Drosophila melanogaster: one gene and its partners. The protein of the gene in region 3 purifies or fractionates together with the protein of the main gene of each other region. This does not show direct contact. Each region holds a gene or a part of one and is shown on either strand. Other genes may lie near its edges.

Region 1 (8,430 bases), on a different chromosome or scaffold from region 3:
CACCCGCACACTCTAACCTGCGGCAACTGGCATGGCTACATCCAGCACTTTGACTTGCGGTGTAGCCACAAGCAGGGTCCTCTCTTCACGCTGGGAGGGCACAAGGGCGGCATCACACAACTGCGCTATGGAGAGTTTGGCAACGGGGAGTGGCATCTGTTCAGTGGAGCTCGCAAGTGCGATAAGATCTTGCAGTGGGACATGCGCAACTACAAGCAGCCACTGGTGGAGTTGCAGCGCCATGTGGACACCAATCAGCGTATTCAATTCGACCTCGCATCCGACAGCAATTGGCTGGCTAGCGGTGACACACGGGGATTCGTCAATGTTTGGGATCTCAAAAAATACGGAGATCCTTCCGTACTGCCCCTGCATTCAGACTGCTGCAACGGAGTGGCACTCAATCCGGCTATGCCGATTCTAGCCACCAGCTCGGGGCAGTTCCACTTTACAGACCAAAGTGCCCAAGGGGACAACGTGACCTTAAACGGAACGGAAACGACGGAGTTGCCGGCGCCGGCCGATGTGAATCAAAATCAGAAGGAAGTTCTCTACGAGAACGCAGTGGTCATGTGGTGGTGCGGCCAAACGGGATAGCATATAAAACTGGTGTAGTCGAGTAAATAATACAAAATCCGTCTTTATTCTTGAATCCATTTGGAAATACTAAAGCATCATGACCGGGTCCATACTGGTTGCCTTCACCTGCAAAGGATTTGCGAGAGTAAGTTGGCGTCGACTCAATGGCGATGGCTGTTAGGTGGAACACTTACCTAGAACCGTTTGAGGAACTCCTCGGCGCAGGTGCGTGCCCTGGCATTGACCGCCAGTTTCATTTCGCTGATCTCCTTGTCGATCTCCTCCATGAAGCTAATGACAAAGTCCACCAGTTTGTGCTTATACATCTGCTCCGTGTGGAAGTTGGTGATGAGGAAGCTTATGTCGTAGCCCTCGATGGGCTTGCGGCGCAGTATGACGAACGACTCGGCGCGTCGCATCATGAACCTGGTGAACTTGTGGCACAGTATGCGCTCAATCTCGTCGGCCTGCTTCACGGCGATGCTCACGCGCACCGAGTTAATGGACGGCTCGATCAGCACCTTCTCCCGCTCGTTGCGCGACACGACGACGGGCGTGAGCACCAGCTCCTTGCTGGAACAGATCTCCACCTCCGGCTTGTTGTGCCGCTCCACCACCTGCGAGGGGAAGTCCTGCAGGCACATCGCCGCCGTCAGCGAGTGTCGCACGGCGGTCAGGTAGGGCTTCAATGTGGCTGCCATTGTGTCTGGGTGTCGGGTTGTTGTCTGCTGCCTGCGGTTTGTTGTATCTGCACTTTTTACTTAACTTATTATGATTCACAGGCCCTGGAATTTATCAACCAGAAAAGATGTGACCATGCGCGGCTGGCAGGAAAATACCAATGCCGAGGTGGGGCCGCAAAAACATAGCAACTATTTGGAATTTGTTATGAAACAGTTTCTATTATATGTTTGGGAAGACTATGCATAAAGTTTATACAATCAATATTAAACATGTTGTTTTTAAACATTTATCAAATCGCACTTAAAACATTTCTTATGATGTCCTGTGTTAAGATGGTAAGAAACTTGACTATCAAGAACTTACCCGAGACCACAACCACTGTTCCATTTCCATTTGTATCTTATCTTTGTGGAATTTTTAGGAGTGAAACAATTTAAATCATACCTAAATTTTAAAAATTTAAGAAAAATGTATATGGCTAGAAGCGTTAAAATTTGAAATGGAAATATCAAATATATGTGTACCATATTAAAGTCCGAAAACCCAACACACCAGCAAAGAGGAAAAATGTTAATTTAGAAGAAAACAGCATCCACCAATTATAAATATTGCATTTATTTGTTTAATGCACTTTTATTATACAATTGTTATAAGTATTTTTGCTCGCATATGGTCAGTTATTTGTGGCTTATATGAACTTAAATTATGCGTGAACCTAGAAAGTGAGTATTTTAATCAATCGTTCAAAATTGTAACCCTTTCCTACTCTCAATACTCAAAAAATGTTTCGGCTGATTATTGCATTGGATTAGACATTAATATATCATAAATTGAGTAAATATCAAAGCATTTTATGCTTTGCGTTTATATTTTGTTCGTTTTTTCTTGAGTATGCTTGAAAGTTTTCGTGTCTGGGTAATTTGGTGTCCTGTGCGTGTTAAATTGTTTTGCCAATGCACATTTTTATTAAGAGATTTATGTTATTGATATTCATTTGTAGAAGCCATAGGTTTACACGAGTACACATACATATATAACGATATAAGATTTAAATTTAAGCTAATCTTTAAAGCGCCCTTTGGTGCAAAATTAAAAATAACTCGCAGGTTTTTGGAAAAAATTTTCCTAAATATTCCATTTGGTTTGCCCTAAATACTTTTTTTTTTTTTTATTATAACCCCCACATTCACTCTCCTCTTAAACCCATTTCTAAAAATAACCCGACGTTAGACAAAATATGCATTTCCATATAATATTACACACATTAATGTATGCTTATACGTAGTTTCCTTCCATTTATATTAATGTCTATATCAGCGTTTTTAGTGTTTGTGTTGTATGTAAATAAAGGAAAAATGCGTTTCGTGTGTTTTACATGGTATTTGATTTTATTGAATTGTATAAGCATTTCTTATGTATTTTTTCTGTTAGACATTTATTTTATAGATAGAAAATGCGAAACTTATAAGAACAAATTATTTGTTAGTGTAAAACTATATTCAGCATGTATATGTATCATGTTGTTGCAAGTTAGTAAATTAAAATTACCACTAAAGTATACATTAACTTAATTAAAAACATTTTCAAATTTTTACTCGCGAAAGCCATTCATAGATGCAAATACAGCGTGCTTATTATTTTGAGAATACCTCAGTCGATGCCACAGTAATTAAAAAAAAAAAAAAACTTGAACATTCAAGACTAAGACTTTGAAAATAATGAATCCAAAACGAATATAACATTCTTGGAACTCAAGGTAAAAAGTGTTTTAAACTTTCAACTGAAATCAACGTGAACTTTTAAAAGAATTTGAAATTTTAAATGACAGGCATGCATTCAACTTGCATAGGCTTTTCTGCCTGGGCTTTTAAGTTTAAATGTAGATTTCCTTTACTAATTTTTTTTTTGCATTAACTTGCCGTAAGCATTCATTTCTTTTCGCTTTATAGTAGCTTATTCGTGTTTCATTATAGAGCTCGTGAGAAAACTCGCTCAGCGGTATCTTGAGACTTTGCCCTTGCCCTTCGCTTCGTTTGCTTTCATAATACTTGGAAATTTTGAGAAATCGTTTTCAGTTTTAAGGGTTTTCTTGCTTAAATATGTGTTGGTGTATTATGCAGTGTTGCTGTTCTTTTTGTAGTCGCCTTGTAACCATGTTTGCAGTGGGTGAGCACAGCTCTCGATGCAGGATCGTTCTCCACTTAGCCTGAGGAGGCAATGGCGCTCTGCTGACCATCCAAATCCTGGGCCTGGGCCTTGTTCTGGCGCACGAGCTCAGCGCGACGTTCCTGAAAGAAAGGAAAGCAATCAAGGATTAATATTCGTTTGCGAATGGAGATGTGCAACTACTGCCAAGTGCTACTCAAACAATAGGGCAAATTGTCGCTTTCAGTGGGGGGGAACAACACGTACGAGTTTTTGAACTTTTTCAATTTTTTTTTGCAATTCCTTTTCGCGTTTCTGCTCGGCGGCGAACAATTTGTTCTCATAAATGCGCGCTTTCTCCTCGATCTTTTGACATTCCAATTGATCGTTCTGCGATTTGATTTCGGCAATTTTGATTGTGTTCTAAATGAGAGGATATAAGAGAAATGAAAAACCAAAATTATATGAACGCATGATAACTTATTTATAGTTCGTACACTCAATGACTAACTAAATGTTAACCAGTTTGCTAGTCCAGTCAAAATGATGTGTCATTTCAATTTTATATTCCAGCAATGAATGTAAGTTAATGTAATGTTTATAAAGTAATTGTTGAGACTTATGGGATCTTGGGTATTGAATATTATAATTACATACATCTAATCATAAACTAGATTTAATGAAAACTTTTGGCCATGCTATAGACTCACATGCTCCTTTAGGCGATCCAACATTTTCTTGATATTCTCATCGCGAAGAGACTGAGCAATCTTCAACTTTTCCTCGATTGCCTTCTGCTCGTTGGCCTTCTGCTGCTCAAGAGTCTCACGCGTCTTTTCGATATCCTGGGCATGGATCTTTCGTTAAACGGAAGAAAATACTTGGTTAGTTGGGAATATACTATGGGATGCAATAGGTTTGGTAGCCTACCTTTAGCTTCTCCTTCATGTCACTGATGATGGCCTCTCGCTTCTCCACATGCAGCTCCATTTTCGACTCCAGCTGCTCCTTGGTCTGAGTAATAAACTCATTGGTGATCTCATCCTTTTTGCGAGTCGCCTCCTCGACTTTAGCCAGCTTAGTGGAGATGTCAGCCATCTTCTTGGCTTCTAGAGACTGGGGAAACAAGATTTCACTTGCTTTACAACAACTTTAATTCTTTAATTTATGTACTTACAATGCGACGTTCCTCGGCCGCCTTAAGTTTCTGCTCAATCTCCTCGACGCTAACGTTCTTGCCAGGGGTGACCGGTCGTTTTGGAACGGCCACATTGGGTGCCGGTTCGGCCAGGATGACCTCATAGCTCAATCCCCCGCGGGACTTCTCCTGGCAGCGAATCTCTGTGGCTGTGGAGGAGGAAGGAAAGCAAAGGGAGACTTATAGTAATTCAATATTTTTGCACTTGGGGTGCATCGAATAGTTGCGGTTAAGGGTGAACCTCGTGGTTCAACCCTCGACTTGGCTTTCCCCCCATCAAAACAACATGACGTCATTTTTACACTTCCACCCCCTTAAAAACTAAACTTAAATGTTGTTCTTTTGGCCAATAAGTTAAACAATACGAATTTAGTGTTACATCGAAATATAATCACCTAAAATCGATATCTTGACATTCTCATTATCTAACTTGTAGACAAATCCATCAAATGGAATGCTGGACAACCAACGAAGCGAAAAATGATTTGTCAAAACAAAAATATGTATATGTATACAATCATTGAACAAGAGGGATAACGATACTTGAAGATGTTGCCACGACAGCCGACAGTGGACACCTTTTATATGTATCCATAACCATATTTTGACACATAATTTGCTATTATTATGGAGTGTCAATGGTGACAAAAGCTTTTAGGCAATCACAATGAGTGTGCATAGATTGTTTACCCAAAATGTTGCCATATCTCACCAATTCTGTTCTCCAAATCTTCCTGCCTCATCCTTTCCAGCATGACCGTCAACGCTGACGCATCCGCGGGATTCGAGTGCATCTCGGACAAGTGCAACTGCAACTCCTCGGCGCTAAATCTCTTCTTACAAAAAACGCAATTGTAGCTTTTTGAAGCATCGCCGTTTAGCAGCTTCTCGCCGCTGAAGAATTTGTCAAGAAAGGACCGATGGTAGATAATCTTAATGCGGCGGTCGTCCTTGTGCGTCTCAGTGTGCTGATTTCGGCCCTCATCAAAACACTGGCCGCAGTACATTACCTCAGATCCGCACTCACTGCAACCGTACCGTCGGTCAAAGTCAGCGCGAATTTGCCCGCAACCCTTACATTTGGTCGGTAAAGCAGAGAAATTGCAACCCATTTTAAATGATATGATCAAATGACTGATCGAAGTTCAATTTGGCGTCGTTACTGGGTTTATCGAAAAATGTTTAATGCTTTATTTATATTTTGTTCTCAGATGTCGGAGAAATGTTTTGCAATAACAAATAGAGACAACTGTAGACCGGAATAAAATGGAAAAGCGCTGCCTACTAGATGTGCAAATAAGATTTTGTAAATCATCTTCCACTAGCCAGAGAAATATCCGAGAAAAGCTTCCTATGAAATGGAAAAACCTGAGGAAACATCCAGATCGTTTGGTCATTTTCTTTTAGAAATGTTTATTTCAAAATACTACATATGCATATGTAATTATGAAAATACCGAGGCTTATTTCCTACAAATGCTGGGTGCCCCGCCTATTCGTCCTGGATGACCATATCTATGAAGTCGGTGATTTGAGAAATGGCTGACTCAGAGAAATCGGAATCCGAAGCTCCATCGTCCTCATCACCGTTTTCTTCCTCGCCGCTTTCCTTGTCCTCCTCCAATCCGGCTAAATCATCGCTGTTTCCTTCGCCATGCAAATCGCTGGCCATTTCTTCTGATGCATTACTTTCCAAATCATCCGATCCGGAATCCGCATATGGGATATCGCCCAAAACTGTGAAATAAGCCGAGCTGGTGGAAGCGGATGGGAGTTCAGTTGCCTTGCTTTCGGCAGTTGGTTCGGTCTGATAACCAATCCAAGTTTTGTACTCGGCGAGACCCCTGTAGAAGCGTTCCATCAATTCCTTGGTCTTAACAGGATACAGCAATAGTTTCCCATTTGATTTTACACTGCCTGATGGCTCGACTGCGTCCAACATGAAATTCGCAGTCCAGGGCAGTCCAATTGGCGGCTGGAACAGCTCTTCGTCTGCCAACATCGAACAGAACATTGCCTCGGTAAAGGTAGCTTTGAGCAATTTGCTTTCCCACTTTTGGCCATTTCCGCTCACCAATTTCGAGCACAAAAAGCGCTTATCCTTGAGTGGGGAAGTAATGACAGTTGACACCTTCTTGGTGGGCTGATCTCCTTGCGTCTTCGTTTGTGCCTTGGCTACCCCAGAGCTGGACCCCGCTTTTCCGCTCCTAGAAGACGAAGCCACCGCCGATTGAAGGGCTATCCCGATAGGCTCTCCAGTACGCCTAGCCGTCTGCCTGCGCACCATTGTTGTCGGCTGGTCAACCAAAACGGGCATGGCAGCACGCATACCCATAGCTAACGCTGTATTAGTACCAGGAGAGATTGCCTCAATGCGGGTCAGCCGATGTAGTGAGGATGATGAGGCGCCCAGACGCTGACGACGATCGGCCATGCTAGTCACAACCTGATCTTCGATGACGCGCACAAAAGACTCAATCGCCTCCATGTCCGGCACTCTGGAACTTCTGTGCTGCATAAGCACAGTTTCAGTCTGCTGCAGTATCTCATAGCAGCGTTCAGGAAAGTCGGCGGCAGTTGAATCCATATTGTCCAGCTGCACAACCATTAGGGCCAGGCTTAATGCGGAATCAAATACCTGCTCGGTCCGCTGTTCGCTTCGCGTGTTGCCACCGGCTACCGGTCGAACGCTTGCTAAATTGCGAGAACGAGTCGAGCGCGTTTGGCTAGAAGGTTGCGGTACTGGCACCTGTTGCTCCATTCCGTTGTCCGCTATATAGAGAGTATTGACCAACGACAAGTAGGCATCGTGGTCACGGTGGTCGCGATGCTCCTGCAGCAGGTGCATGAACAAATGGGCGGTAGAAAGGCCGCGAACATCGCACAGGGCACATTTGTAGCTCTGGGCCACTTTGTGATCACCGCAGAATGGCTCGCCGCCGAAGTACAGCTGGTACTCGGCATAGGCATAGTACACACTCATCGGATGGTAGTAGCGATGCTGAGGCGATGCCGGCAGATGGTTGGCATCGAAGCACTTGCCGCACAAAGTGTATTCCGCGCAGAACCTGCAGGTGTAGCGGCGGCCCTGGAAATCGGATATCTTGCAGTTCTCGCAGCGGTGGCCAAAGTGGCGCTCCGGCGGATTGCGCATCTGGTGGGCCATGGGTGCTTGAAGTGATTCTGGCAATGGAATTCGTGCACGGATGATATTATATACGAATTGTGCGCAGAGAATCGTCGTTGGTGAAGACTCAAAAGTTTGCTGAATTTTGTTTATGATATTAGAGAACCCTATTTAAAATTGAAATGTGAGCGGCCTCGCCAGTGTTTTTTATTCGTTTCAACAACTTACTCTTTTCACAACTTTTCACTTTCAACTGATGAACACCTTTACTCGACAAGAAAAATTATTTGACTAAACTTCTATTGAATATCGAACAAAAAAGTGAGACTGAAAGCTAAACTCCAAAAGGCGCTGCCAACTCGATTCTATCAACAATTGTGAAAATCCCGAAAAAATAGGAGCACGTGCACGACGAGAAGTTTCTATGACGGAGTATATTTCTGTGGCCTTATAAATTACTTACAATTACAATGTACAATTAAGTAGCTATAGAAACAACATGTTTTTGCATAATTTGTAATCTTATGATATCAACGCATAACCCGCCATAATAGATAGCATATACTTCATATACAATAGCTTCGATGAGTTATTTCGTTTACAGTTTCGTTTCTTAAACCCTTTTATTTGTGTTATATTCATATTCGAGTTAAAATGTTCGCATTTGTATTTTTTACGAGTTTGCACATATAATCATT
Region 2 (7,352 bases), on a different chromosome or scaffold from region 3:
CCATCAAAATCGCCCTAACACTTTTACGTTCGATGTAATTTCGAAAGAACTTTTGAGTTGTTTCCCTTTTGTTGCTTTGGCATTAGTTAGTTTACAAACTGATTTTGTACTACAGCAAGCAACAAACAAACAACGCTAAACTAAAATGCTTACGCACATTGTTATCACTAGAAAAACAACAACAACAACAACAAAAGAACAACAAGAACATAAACACAAGAAGAAAAACCTGTCTGTTAAAAAAACAAAAATGAGAATATGTAATATGAATAACGAGAAGTACATGCATACATATATAAATATATATATATATAATCAATTTGTAATTGTACCGAAATTGATAACTGTAAAGTAACAAGAAGTTTATAAAATTGCATATGATTTAAACTATAAACTAACTAAGAAATACAATATCCCTCTATGCAGCAAGCGAAAGCAAAACCAACAGCAGTTATACATAATTGAATGTGTAATATGATGGCAAAAATATAAATAAAAATATTATAATAAAACAAAACGAAAAAAAAAATACAAACACTGAGAAACAACCAAAAAAAAAAACAAAAAGCGTAATTCATTTCCTCTCTATGCTATGATAGTTAAGCCTGAACCATTGAACAATTAAACAATTTGTACGTAAAACTAGACGATGAATGACTAGGCGATGATGATGTTGCGAGGACGTAACGACTTAATAGCGAAAAGTTTAAATAAAATTTATACTTGCGAGTTGAAAAAACATATATGCGGCCGGAACTTTTCATGACCAATGCTCCCACTCTGGCCACTTTTAGTCTTGATTCCACTGTATGCCTCATATAATTATAAACCCCAGTAAATAAAAAGCGGACAACAACAGCGAGCGTTCGTTTTGTAGATAACCGAGGAAAACAATAAAGCGATAACCACCATCCACGGGGGCCATTTACTCCAGTCCAACTTAATGCCCAACCGGAGCCAAAGCTGTTCCTGATAGCCGTCTTGGATCCACCAAAAAGTATTGCAACGCGTGGCAAACAGGATGGTAGAATCAGTCTCAAAAAGTGCATCTTACTTTCATGGATTCTACATCGAACAAAATGACTAATAATATTTATCGCTTATACTTTAGTTCCCCCTTAATATACAAAAAAAAAATTCCACTTTCTTGGGCACTACAAAACATTTTGTTCATTTTAATTTTGAAACTTCTTCGCACTCATTTCTAAAAGATCAGTTCCAAACAACTTTCACAAGTATGCTTAGGTACATAAATACTAAACGAGTAATACAATTCTTTTTTATCCATTTTGCTCGGGCATCACAAAGCATAGTAAATCATACATTAAATAGTTAGACAAGGCATATACACGCATCGTGGGGTTACAGTTAAAACAATTATTAATAATCGGAGCAAATATTTTGGTAAGGACTGTGTGGCGTACTGTGTGTATATAAAACTTAACCAAGAACACTTGCGCTGTTAAGTATAAAGAGTTGACCTAAGCGCTATTTCTGTAACCCTAATTAATCGTATATATAGTGGCTTTCGATCGCTGCCATCTTGTTTAGATGCGACGCCATCTTCACCTCGTCGTCCATGGGACCGGAATTGGATTGCTTCTGGCAGGGTTTGGTTTGCGTTTCCGTTTCGGTATCGGTTTCCGCCTCCGCTTCGTCCTTTGCGACTTCATCCTTCGTCGCGTCGCCGGCTTCCTCTTGATCATTGTTAGTCGCCTGGCTGCCATTTCGGCAGCGGGCTATCAGATCGCTGTAGGGACGGCCGTGCAGCAGGCACACCAGCACCACGGTCATATTGTCGCCGCCGAGGCCTCCCATTTGGCAGTCGGGTGCTAGGCAGTGATTCATCAGCTCTTCGCAGATCTCCTCCGGAAACATGCCCATGCCGATGCGCGTGCGACAGAACTCGAGCACTTCCGCGTTGCTCATTACATCCCAAATGCCATCGCAGGCCAGCACGATGAATTCCCAATCGTCCATGATTTTCCGCGTCTCCACGTCCGGGAAGGCTATATAGGCGCACGGAGAACAAGAAACAAGGTGATAATGCTTAACAAGAACAATGGATGGAGATGGTGATTCTCACCTGTGACGATTTGATCTTCCGGTTTTTTGTTCTCATGCTTGAATACATAGTCACCGAGGGCGCGGGAAAGCGCAAGATTGCCGTTGACGCGATTGAACTCAACCCAGCCGCCGCCTTGGATGATCCGCTTGGACTCCGCCTCGTTATTGGGCTTGTGGTCCAGCGACAGGACCTCCAGTTGTCCGTTCACGCAGGCAATGGCGCGCGAGTCGCCTGCGTTGGCGCAATAAAGCTTGTTGTCCTTTACCAAAACAACTACGGCAGTCGAGCCGGCCATCTGGTCACCACATGTCTTGTTGCGTAGCATAACGTAGTCGATGTCCAGAAAGCCCTGCAATTGCATCATATATGAGTCATGAATTAAATAGAATGGCTTGAAGAGCTTTACATGTTCTCAAAACTAGTGAATTTAAATGGCATTACATTTTAGATATCTTTATAAGTTAATCTGTTGTTTATATGTATCTTCAAAAAGTATATGACTTTAATAAACGTGAGACATATAAAGATAAATGTATAGAGGTTTTAACAAGTTGTTTTCATCCCATTACTTATCATTCTTAACAAATCTTTGTGCTGCAGATGAGTAACAATTTGTTGAAATGAGTCGCTTGAATAGAATAGAATAGGTACGTATTGTACATACATACATATATGTGTAATATGTAAAACTTTGGTTTTAAGAAGTGGGTACTACCCTCATATATCCAAGTATCCAATTATCATTTATTTAAGGACATCATCGATACCGTGCATATCCGAAAGAAGACTGCATGTGAGGAGTACATATACATAGGTACTCCAACTGCCTTCAGCGATCTATAAATGTCGCCATTCCCGCCATCTAAAAGTGACTCTGCCGTGACTCACCTGCTGCAGCGCCTGTTCGATGTTGTCGTTGTACTCCGGCCGCTTGAGAACGTACTTGTGCAGGTGCTTGCCGGCGTACTGGGCCACCGTGGCGCCTCCGTGCCCGTCGTAGACGGCGAAGAATGCCGCTCCCGGATCGTCCGGCAGCGAGAGGATGTGGGTGTGCGAGTCCTCCATGTTGATGCGCCACCCCTGCATGCAGGAGCTGCCCACGCGGTAGGCGGCGTTCTGGCAGTACGCTGACTCCTTGGCGGTCACCGGTTCCGATAGAGTCTGACCCATTGCGGCTTGTATGGTGTGCGGTGTGGAGTGTGTTGTGTGGGCTGACTTCTTTGCGGGCGGGGTTAGTGCTATCGATTTACGTCGCTTTTCTGCGGGAAAGAAGACGTACAAGCACACGGGTTAAGTTAATTACGAAACTGACTGCTGCGGAGCGCGGAACGACCGACGGCCGACTGTCAACTTCAGATACGCGTGGGCTCCGGAGATTAGTATATCAGAGGCATAAGCAAACAGACGTGGAGATTTCAGGGCCGGATCGCGATCCGGAATTGGATTCAGCTTGGGTTCAAAGGGCAGGTGATAAATGAGCGTCGATAAGCCGGATATTACGGCTGACGATCAACGTACTTCCTTCGCGTGCTCCCTAATATGTTCACAGTTTGCAGCTTATTTAAACTTATGCAAAACCAGAAAATAAGAACGGAAAACCAGAACAGCAACGGAAAACACGCAAAAAAAACGGAGAGAAGTGGAGAGAAGATAGAAGAGGAGGAGCGGCGCCAAATTAACGATGCGCTGATTACACACCTGGCGTTCACCGTTTTTGCTCCACCCTGCAAAGCGAGTACGCATCAAAGAAAAACTGTTTGGTAAAAAATTATTAAAAACTGCGCGTGTTTATTTTTTTATTGAATTTGTGTTTTGAAGTGTGAACGTGTCTGAAAAATGGTAAATTCCTAACTGCTGTTTACAAACGCATGGTAGTTGACCACACTAATGCCGGTACTGTTCAACACTGGCAGAGTGGCGCCCTGCTTGTGAGTGCGTCTCGACTAGCTTGGCAGCACTGGCGAAAAGCTTTTTGGTTTTGGCGCCTTGATTTGAATTTAAAAAGTTTAAAATCCAAAAAAATATTATTTATGCACCTTAATTGTACAAATAATGAGTGATGTTCTTTTGCCTTTCCATTGAAATTCACATTTCGAATGAATTCTGCAATTCCAATGCAAATTTCACATTATGCGGCTACTCTTTTCCGCTTCTCATTTCGCCTTTTCGTCGTCTTATCTGCTCTTTTATTTTTTTTGTTTAGCTGGCGAGTGCATTGAATTTTGCGAATTTCGCTTTGGGCTTGCGGCAAATATACGAATTCAAGGACAAATGACGTCAGCTAAGCACTTTTTGCGGTTGCCGCTGCTGCTGTTTTGTTGTTGCTCCCATATTGTTGTTGCTTGGGGAATTAAAGCTTGACTGGCATTCGCCGCTGCCAACGCCTCTGCTTTCTATTTATTGTCTTCTTCGTCTTCGTCTCTTTTTTTGGGTTCTTTTGTTTTGCGCTTTTGGCGAGCGCAAAAAATGTATTAAATATTTGCACAGCAGCAGCAAAAGCAAAAGCCACAGAGCAATTTTTGATAAAGAACTAGTGGATGTATTTCAGAGGTCCCTCTCCATTTCCATTTTATTCGCATTATCTTTGGCGCTCTGAAATTGTTTCGGCAAACAAAGTCAATCAGAACTTTGTTGTCGAACCTACATATGTACATACGAATTGGTATCACCCGCCTTTATGCATTTATAAGTAGTACAAATTTGGAACTCAAACAAAGATTAGATAGGAACGAACATACACTTCCATACAACAACAACTATTCTTAAATTATTCGAATTTTGAGGAATAATGTTCGACACTTTATCTAGCTTGGCTTGCTAGAAATCGTTTTTAAATGTGATAATGCACTTAATTTGGCTCAGTGTATTATATCTCTGCCTTTCTTATCGTTCTGTTTGGTCATTGAAAGTGCAAGGCGTCAACGTCGCTGCACGCATTTTATTTCCCAACCTCTAGAACGCACATTTATTATGCATTTAACGTTCCCCGCTGACGACTGCAACTATCGACCCCGCTGCCACCGCCCCCCCCCCTCGCCAACACTCGCCTCTTGCCATTTAAGATTCGCTTTCGCTTCCCCTTTTATTTTAGCGCACTCAGTAAAATTTCCATATTGTTTGTCAACCGCGGATTGCATCCAGGCTCGGTTTCGGTCCCTGAATCGCTCTCCAAATCGGAATCGGAGTTGGAGGCGATCAACAGCTCCATATGCAGTCTGCATGCAAATGCTGCACTTCGGATCGCAGCAACACTGAGCAAAATAATATTAATATAATATATAAAAATTTATTTCATTTATATTATTATTATTTTATTTATAAATTTAAGTTCTTCTTACTTCAAGTGGTAAATATTTTAATCTGGCTTAGTAAATGCCAGTAGATTAAGAATATTAAGTATACGCTTAGGTGGCAACCAAACTAAATGTATCTTTTCTATATATTTCTTCAAAGTCGGGCCTATGGCCACATTATTTTTCCAAGTGTATGTCCCGCTGACGGAAAGGGACTGCGACGGGGGCCGGACAGACCAGGGCCCACAGATATCGTCGTCAGGCAGTTCAATCACATTGCACAAAAGTTCGAGGTCAGTTATAAAAATAAAATTAAATGCCCTCGCTGGTCGCGCGCCCCTTCCCCCCCCTCGCCATCACCGCTCAACAGTGAGCTCTTGGATGGGATTGGAATTGGAATTGGATTGGGTTTTGTTTTACATTAATTTCTGTTTGAATGCGACAAAATGGGTTTCTTTGTCTTTGGCTAGCTGGCTGGCTGGCTGAGCAGGATCGGGATAATGGGGTTGCTGCACGCAGCTCCTGCTCCTGCTCCTGTTTTCTGGGACTGGGCACAAAGGGTATTGTTCGGGGACATTGCGGGTCACTCGAGTGGAAGTAGGCCACTGGAGTTCTGTGTAACTTGAGCACCGTCCGATCGGGATCGCCGATGCAATTGTGTAATGTGAGCCGCGGCAGGGCAATGACTCCTTTCCCAAGGATAATGAAGGAACTTGGTCGCAGGGCAGGAAATCAATCCGTTGCCATCTGCCAACATACTTAGATCAATATGAAGCTTCAATTACTATCAAAGTATTGAGCATTTTTAGTTTTTGGTGACCGCAATCTAGTATGTTTATTAAGCTATGGAAAATGGTGACCCAGACGCTACGTTTGAGAACTGCGATTTCTGCGAAACCTAACGATAAGATACATTTCCACAGATGCATAATAAATACGGCATCCAAAAGGGCAAACTTCCCAAAGAATCGATGTTCATTGATGTACAGGAGGACGTGCGCTACTCTCTTCTAAGCTCGGCTAACAAATATATTTTGTTTTTGGCCAACAGACGGGCCCAGACAGTCGCTGACCGGTGGAATGCTGTTGAACTTAATTTCGGCTGGCCGTACCGCAATGAAATGAAATTTCGATAATTTCCAGGGAATTCATGCCACAGATTTCGGCGCGGCGCGACGTTCGCGGCCATGGCCGATCCTCAAAGCAGACCAAAGCCGAAAAACCAGGGCCAAACTAGTTGGACGGGCTGCCCTCCACTCCGCAGTCGAGTGTCCCAAGGATCCCAGACGCAGGTTCATTAACTTGTTTGCCCCGCCGCGCGGAGGCTGCCTCACTTTTTTATTTTGGGGCCGCCGACGTCTTGCTCTTCAGCAACCACCATCCACCGTCCAGATATTCGAGATTCGAGCATCCAGTATCCAGCATCCGCGACGAGACAATAATGATCTTCGCTGGAAACGCGAGCCCCTTCACCGCCAAAGTCCCCCATTCCCCCTGCAAAAAGATCCTGCTCGCCGGTGGTGATGATGGTGACTTAATTGCCGCACCCAAATGGCTGAGCTGGACTAGGGATTAGCACGAAAAGTATTCGATTCTCCAGAGCCGCATTGGTGGCTCTCCAGGGTATGTAGTCAAGTGAAAATAGTGTTGCTTGAGTGTAAGGTGCGGGAATTGAAAGATTTCTGTGGAAAAACATCGAACTTAAAGCCGCATTCGAAGCACTTAATTATCAGTGTTTTTGCTTTCTTTGAGCAAAACCAGTTTCAAGCCAAGTACCAACTCAGATCGAAATGCAGATGGTAGAACGGGCCAAGCCCTATGATCCTTGTGACATTTGCTCATTTTTCACTGTCGCAACTCGCTAGCCGATAAAGTGGAGCACATTGTACTAGCCTCTGATTAATATGAGTTGTGGCCTGATATCGCTGCAGCCTTGGCCGAAGTCGTTTACTCAGTGAATCACTTGGCCTTCCACTTTTTCCAATTCTGGC
Region 3 (6,541 bases):
TGCCTGGCTAATGTAGACATACAGGCAAGGTTGCACCCGCTTCATCTGGCTGTAGTCGTGACCACTTGTCCAGAAGTAGCTTTTGTCGCACAGGATAAAGGAACGATCCCTGATATAGCCACGTATCCGCTTACCAAAGGCATTCAATTCCTGGAACTCGTGCTTGCGTAGAAACTTTACTAGCCAGTTAAAGTCCTTGTGCGTGCAATCCGAGATGAACCACGGTATAGCCTTCACATGGAACCGCACCCGACTGGCCAAGCCCGATTCTATGATGTACTCGCCCAGCAGCAGATCCGCAAAGAGCTCAAATCCCGCATTGTCGCACACGATGTCCACGTAGACGGGCGCACTGGCCTCGATGAGATCCTGCCAAACATCGAACGACTGATCCGCCAGCAAATCAATGTCGTATTTGGCAATCTGTTTATAGATTTTGTCATGCGCACCCCTTCTTGTGATGTTTAGGTCACCGTGATTGGACCACGTAGATAGTTTTAGGAGATACTGAAAGTCCTCCTGGCTGCGCTTAATGCCTTTGGTTGAGACTAGGATGTCCCTCATCAGTGGCGCCACATTGGTAACAATGGACGTCTTTTGATCACCGAAGTAATCATAATTTTTCAGGGTTTCGGATCGCTGGAAGATCGACCAAATGCGGCGGTACATGTAGCAATCCGCATGCAGCCAAATTGCCGAAAACCACTGCCTTCTGTCCTCTCCAAGACCCTTGAGGAACGAGTTCCAGCTGTCAGTGTCCGGCGACTTGACGCGAATTATCTGGAACTCCCTGTTGTTGATTATATCATCGCGCAGCAGCTCCAGGCTCCAGATGGTGCGCTTCAAATCGAAATGGGCATAGTCCCCGCACTGTTCAATTATATCCGCCTCACGATCCTGTAGGAATGTGATCAAATCCCTCAAAAATGCGGGCGATCTTCGCTTGAAGGTGGCAAAAGCTAGGCTGCGCAGGAATCTGGCGGAAAGTTCGTCATTCTCTCCAGGCGGATTGTATATGATCAGATTCTTCTCGTTGAATCGCTGTTCCTTCAACTGCTCAATGGCGGCAAGATTGGTGGTTTCCGTCACATCGGTGTGGCTAGTTAAGTCAGCACTATGCATTTCGCCTAAAACGTAGAATTTCGAAGCCCTCTTTGCCAGGAAAATATTTCGATTCCAAATTAATATTTTCCTAAACTTTAATAGCCCTAATAGGACAACTGACGTTCATATGAGTGAGTGTCTGTGCTTACTAAGCAATGCCAAAGGCTTTGGAGTACAACTAAATTGCTAAAGGCAATGCAAACGTTTTAAATGTGTTTAAAAACATTTTATAAAAACTAAATTAGTCATAGTTGAAGTGTTAATGATTAAATTGAGTATAATTTCGTTTTGGATCTCGCATAGGTCACTCTGAATTTCAACAATTAAGCTAAGCTTATAACGACTAAAACAATTCAACTAGTTTGCTGTTCCTTGTCCTGATTTCCTTCTTTCTCTACTTGCTGGCAAACTGTATTACGCCATACTCGCCAGTCAACATCCACTCCTTATCCTTGGCAAACAGTTGGTCCGCCACGCCTGCACCCAATCCGCAGATCAGATCCGCTTTAATTGTGCGCAGAGTGCAGAGATTGGAAGGACGAAAGCCTTAACAGGGATATAAAACGTGTAAGTACTGGAAGAATTACTGTCAAGATAGACTCACCCCTCAAGCAAGTTTCGAAGGACTCCGTGCTGTCCCAGGAGAAGTCGCCTAACAACTTGCGATAGTTGAGGTCACCCTTGAAGATAACCAGTTGCGCCTCCTTCAGGCGGTCGTAGAGTGAGGGATTTACCTCTGGCATGCGATAGAACTCGTAGGGACTCGTCCAAAAGTGTTCCAGTGGCGAAAGCTCGAACTTGCCCTCGGTCGTCAAACGCTGCCATTTTTTTCCGACCTCACTCAGCACAGGATCCGGATGGTCGGCCAGAAATTGAAGTGCCCAGTGGAAGTCGTGCTCCATCACGTCCGAAATGAACCAAGGAATGGCCTTGGGATTGAAGCGCACCTTGGCAGCCAATCCCTTGTCGATAATGTACTCAGCCAGAATGAGATCCGTGTACAGCTCATAGCCGGCGTTGTCGAAAATGATGTCCACAATGCCCTCTCCGGAGGCTCCGTCCAGGGCTTTCCATACCTCCGCGGTGCCGTCGATTAGTAGCTTCTCCTCCAAATCCGTAACTTGGTCAAAGGCATTGCCAGTGGGCTTCACCTGTTTGCCGGAGGTTATGGACAGATCGCATCGGTTGCCCCACAAATTGAGTTTGATCAACTGGCGGAAGGTGTCCGAGTTTCGTTCATTGTGCCGCGTAGCCTTGGCCACCGCCAGCATGGCGTCCACGCTCAGTTTGGTCGCCGTCTGTTTCTGCTGGCTGAAGTAGTCGTAGGCGGCCAGATGGGCTGTGGCCCGGAAAATAGATGAGATTTTGCGGTACATATAACACTCGGCGTACAGCCAGCAGACGGAAAAGTAGGTTCTCTTCTCCTTGGGCAGTTTTTCCAGGAATGCATTCCACACTTCAGAGTCGGAATCTGAAAGGCACAGATTCGTTATTCTTATCAAAGAAATTCATTTTGCGCAGGGTAAATGAAATAATAATATATAAAACGCAATCAATTATGAGTTCAATGCTATTAAAAGAAATTAAAACAGTACACTTATATGATTGCCAACCCAATGAGCACCCAAATACCTACCATTTTCACCAAAGGGCAGTAAAGGACCGTTGCTCAGGATGTCATCCCGCAGCTGTCTAACCTCCTTTGTAGTTTGTTCAATATCGGCTTCCGCTGCCTGGAATGCAATTTGATATCAAAGGTTTAAGCTCAAGGTCAAGGTAGAAGTGCACACAACTACCCACCGCGCCATATGTGGCCAGGAGGACGTCCTTGTCCTTGACTAGGGAATCCGCGATGGTGGCCAAGGTCGAAGGCAGACGCACACGGAAGGTGTAGTAGGCAAAGCTCCTGCAATAAATGACTTTTAAGTAATAATCATAATTCAATTCCACAGCTTGGATGTGTGGGTAACGATGGGTCGGCGTATTTGTTACATATGCGCGGGCCATTTAGACACCATCTATAGTAGGCGCTATATTTAGCCCTACTCACTGCTTATAGAGGGCCGCCAGCTCGGTGTGGGGCGGGGTTGGTCCGTCCACGATTCCATTCTTTGCGTCAAAATCCGTTTCGCTGCCCATTTCGAGGATCTGTTTGTTGCTCCAGCCGAATTGTACTGCTGCGGAAAGTTTATAAATTGATAAAGTGGCGCGTAGTGTGACCGCTTTGGCGGTGATGGAAAATACCGAAATTGGAACCGATAATTTACAAGGCGATACTTTTTGAATTTTCAAAATTTGTTACTTATGTTTCAAGTTTTTTATTGTTTCATAGCAAAAAAGGTACATATATGTATATATTTAAGACGTCTTTGGCTTCTAGATATGTAACGACTATTTATTACCAATAATTTAAGCTGACCAGCCTGTACAAGATTAATAGCCAAATTCACGAGCTCCGTCAACGAACTGAATGACCCCATAACTGCCCGAGACCATCCAGCGCGGATCCTTCACACTCAGCGCCTGGCCAACGCCCTCGGGCAGGCCGGAGATAACTTCGCTCTTGACCCGCCGCAGCACACAAATGTTGCTGGGAAGGAAGCCACGGAGGCAGGTGCTGAGTTCCTGGGTGGGGTCCCAGCAGACGTCCTGCAGCAGCTTGCGATAGTTGAGCTCTCCCTTGAAGACCACCAGCTTGGATAGCTGCAGGGAACTATACAAATCTGGATCCATTTGCGCCATGCTGCAATAGTCAAAGATGTAATTAGGAGGCACTGAATATGCAGTCATATCCGGAATGCGAACCTGTAAAACGAATGTGGTGATGTCCAGAAATGCGAGATTGGCGCCAGTTCGAACTTTCCCTCATCGATGAATTGTAGGAACTTCTTTCCTATCAGACTTATAATGTAGTCCGCATGCTCACTCAAGTACTCCAGCGTCCACTTGAAGTCCCGCTCCGTCACATCGGTGACAAACCAAGGGTGGGCCTTCACATGGAACCGCACCTTGTCGGCCAGTCCCTTCTCAATCATGAACTCAGCCAGTATAAAGTCGCTAAAGAGTTCGTAGCCTGCATTGTCCAGTATAAAGTCCACCTGCTTATGCTTCTTCAGTTTAGGGTTTTCCAAGCACCTCCAAATCTCCGCTGCCTGGTTAACCAGTACGCGCTCATCGGTGTTTGCCACTTTCTCCAGCACCTGGCGGTTCGATTGCTTTACTGTATCCGTGTCGGTCGCCACATCATTGCAGTTGCTCCACATGTTGATCCTCAGAAGCTCGTCGAACACCTCCACGCTGTTCTCTGATCGTCGTGTGTACTTGGTCAGGGCCAGTATATCATCAATGCTATCCGTTAGCGCCTGCTCCTTGACTTTGGCAAAGAAATCGTATGACTTCAGAAATACGCTGTTTTCCAGAAAGGAGTGGAGTTTGCGGTGCAGATAGCACTCGGCATGGAGGGAGCTGGCTTTGTAGAAGCTGCGTTCGCCATCGGGCAGGTTGCTGATAAAGTTGTTCCAAACATCTCGATCGGGTTCTAAGAAAACAAGGCTTATAATCCTCATGAGAATTCTATGAAGCTAGGAACTAACCTTCGCCAGTAAAGTTTTGAAACGATTTGTCCGTTTGCAGCTCGTACTTTAGCCTGGAGATCAATCCAATAATGATCTTTAGCTCCTCGCGGGCAGCCTGTGAAAATTCATTTGAGGCTGGAAGAAGAAAAAGTTAATGGAGATGCCAAAAAACGCTTGCAGGGATTAACCAACCGAATTGGGCTACCAGCTCGGATTTGTCCCGTGTCAGCGTATCTATCACGTTGGTCAGGATCACGGGCAGCCGACTCCGGAGTGTGAAGAAGGCAAAGCTCTGCTTGTAATGGCCCGACATAAAGGCATTGAGAGGAGTCTGCAGGTTTACGATCTGGTATTTGGCATCGAATTCCGTTCGCAACAGTCGCGATATTTTGCTGGGTTCCGAGTCCGTTTTGCCTTCGTCCTCGGGCAGTTCGCCTTCCGAGGAAGGGTCCTTCGATAAGGATTCCATCTTTTCTTTTTTTTTGTCTGTGATTTTTGTGCGTTTACTGGTGCATTTTAGCAGAATTTACCTGATTTTGACTGATTTTTCAAAGCTGCAATCTGTTTAGTGTTGCCTAACGCACGTCACACTGCGATTATGCGCAGGACTGTTTGTGAATTTGATTTGTTAAGTTTATGCGCGAGTGTGAATTTTTTCATTCTGACTTATTTTTAAAATTATAGTTTAACAGATAAAACTCCTCATGAAAAATATTCAGTTGCTTAAGAAAATGCAATTTACCACATTCTTGTTTATTTATTTTTCATTTTTATTAATATGCTAAAATTTTTCAAGAAATTATATTTAGTTGGTTGAGAATAGATGGGTTTTTTTTTCTTTTATTTAACGAAAAGGTTGAAGTATATTTCTAAAAAATTTAATGAATAATACAGGACGTTAGTGTCGTGGTTATCAATTATATGTTTAAGTTGTTTCAGCTTATGGTTTTATAAGCATCGCTATTTGAATACAAGCAATATATTGTTTTAAAATTTTAAACAATAATAGTTTTAATAAATACATATGAATGTGAAAATTAAAAGAAAAAATGCAAATACGTTGTTACGTAGTTAATAACGTAAACATATTTTTTTTTTTAGATATATGCATGTTATTAGATATTTTACATATTTTTTACATAAGTAGTATTGAAAAATCATAAGTATCGGTAATCAGCTGTCTTACGAACAGTGCTGGAAATTGGGAAAGCGTGATGGCTTTTTTATCCCCTTTTTGCTTCCGCATCTGATTCATAGCGCTGCCAACACTGCCCCTTTATTGCAGTTTTATTTGGCAAACGAACGCGACGCGAGGTCTGCAAAATGTTTAAAGCGCGAGGAACGGCCAACCAGTGAGTGCACCTCGATTGATCTGTTCGATCCGATCTGGTCTCGCAATCGGGCAGCGCTAAACCGCAGGGCAACCGCAGCAAATGCCATCGTGAATAGAAACGCCCACCCGCACAGACACACGAACGGGGATTTGGATTTGAGTTTGGACTCGGAGTCACCACACACGCACACACTCGCGCGGACCCTTGGAGCACCACCCGCACACACAAACACACACCGCACACCCCGCCAGCCACACACACACACGCACACCCGCAACGATGTCACACCTACCATTGCCGCTTTATGGCTTCGCGGCATTCTTCATGGTTTTCTGGCTGGGCACCTGGATGGTGCATGTGATAGCCATCTGCTACGGGCGCTACAAGCTGCACAAGAAGTCCTGCAAGCTGCCCACGGAGGCACAACCCCTGCCAGGTGTCTCTATTCTCAAGCCCCTCATGGGCGTCGATCCCAACCTGCAGCACAACCTGGAGACCTTTTTCACCATGGACTATCCGCTGTACGAG

The links.
Region 1: the proteins of CG11474 (region 3) and stai purify together in Drosophila melanogaster (affinity purification with mass spectrometry, with the first as the bait; one large-scale study listed by BioGRID). This does not show direct contact.
Region 2: the proteins of CG11474 (region 3) and CG17746 purify together in Drosophila melanogaster (affinity purification with mass spectrometry, with the first as the bait; one large-scale study listed by BioGRID). This does not show direct contact.

The regions. Positions count from the first base shown.
Region 1 is NT_033779.5:6,118,099-6,126,528, reverse strand, and holds stai (stathmin), read right to left. Parts: upstream 5,856-8,430; 5' UTR 5,719-5,855; coding exon 5,319-5,718; intron 4,756-5,318; coding exon 4,586-4,755; intron 4,525-4,585; coding exon 4,339-4,524; intron 4,266-4,338; coding exon 4,119-4,265; intron 3,832-4,118; coding exon 3,676-3,831; intron 3,552-3,675; coding exon 3,465-3,551; 3' UTR 1,876-3,464; downstream 1-1,875. Other genes in the region: WDR79 (WD repeat domain 79), read left to right, coding at 1-597; Arpc4 (Actin-related protein 2/3 complex, subunit 4), read right to left, coding at 774-1,280; CG31642 (uncharacterized protein), read right to left, coding at 6,098-7,771.
Region 2 is NT_037436.4:3,235,656-3,243,007, forward strand, and holds CG17746 (uncharacterized protein), read right to left. Parts: upstream 3,924-7,352; 5' UTR 3,767-3,923; intron 3,719-3,766; exon of another isoform or gene 3,587-3,718; intron 3,328-3,586; 5' UTR 3,239-3,327; coding exon 2,957-3,238; intron 2,418-2,956; coding exon 2,087-2,417; intron 2,010-2,086; coding exon 1,507-2,009; 3' UTR 1,292-1,506; downstream 1-1,291.
Region 3 is NT_033778.4:22,070,058-22,076,598, forward strand, and holds CG11474 (uncharacterized protein), read right to left. Parts: upstream 3,387-6,541; 5' UTR 3,244-3,386; coding exon 3,155-3,243; intron 3,011-3,154; coding exon 2,905-3,010; intron 2,838-2,904; coding exon 2,741-2,837; intron 2,576-2,740; coding exon 1,709-2,575; intron 1,651-1,708; coding exon 1,499-1,650; 3' UTR 1,177-1,498; downstream 1-1,176. Other genes in the region: CG11475 (uncharacterized protein), read right to left, coding at 1-1,122; CG2921 (uncharacterized protein), read right to left, coding at 3,538-3,847, 3,910-4,642, 4,698-4,814, 4,872-5,148; GlcT (glucosylceramide synthase), read left to right, coding at 6,293-6,541.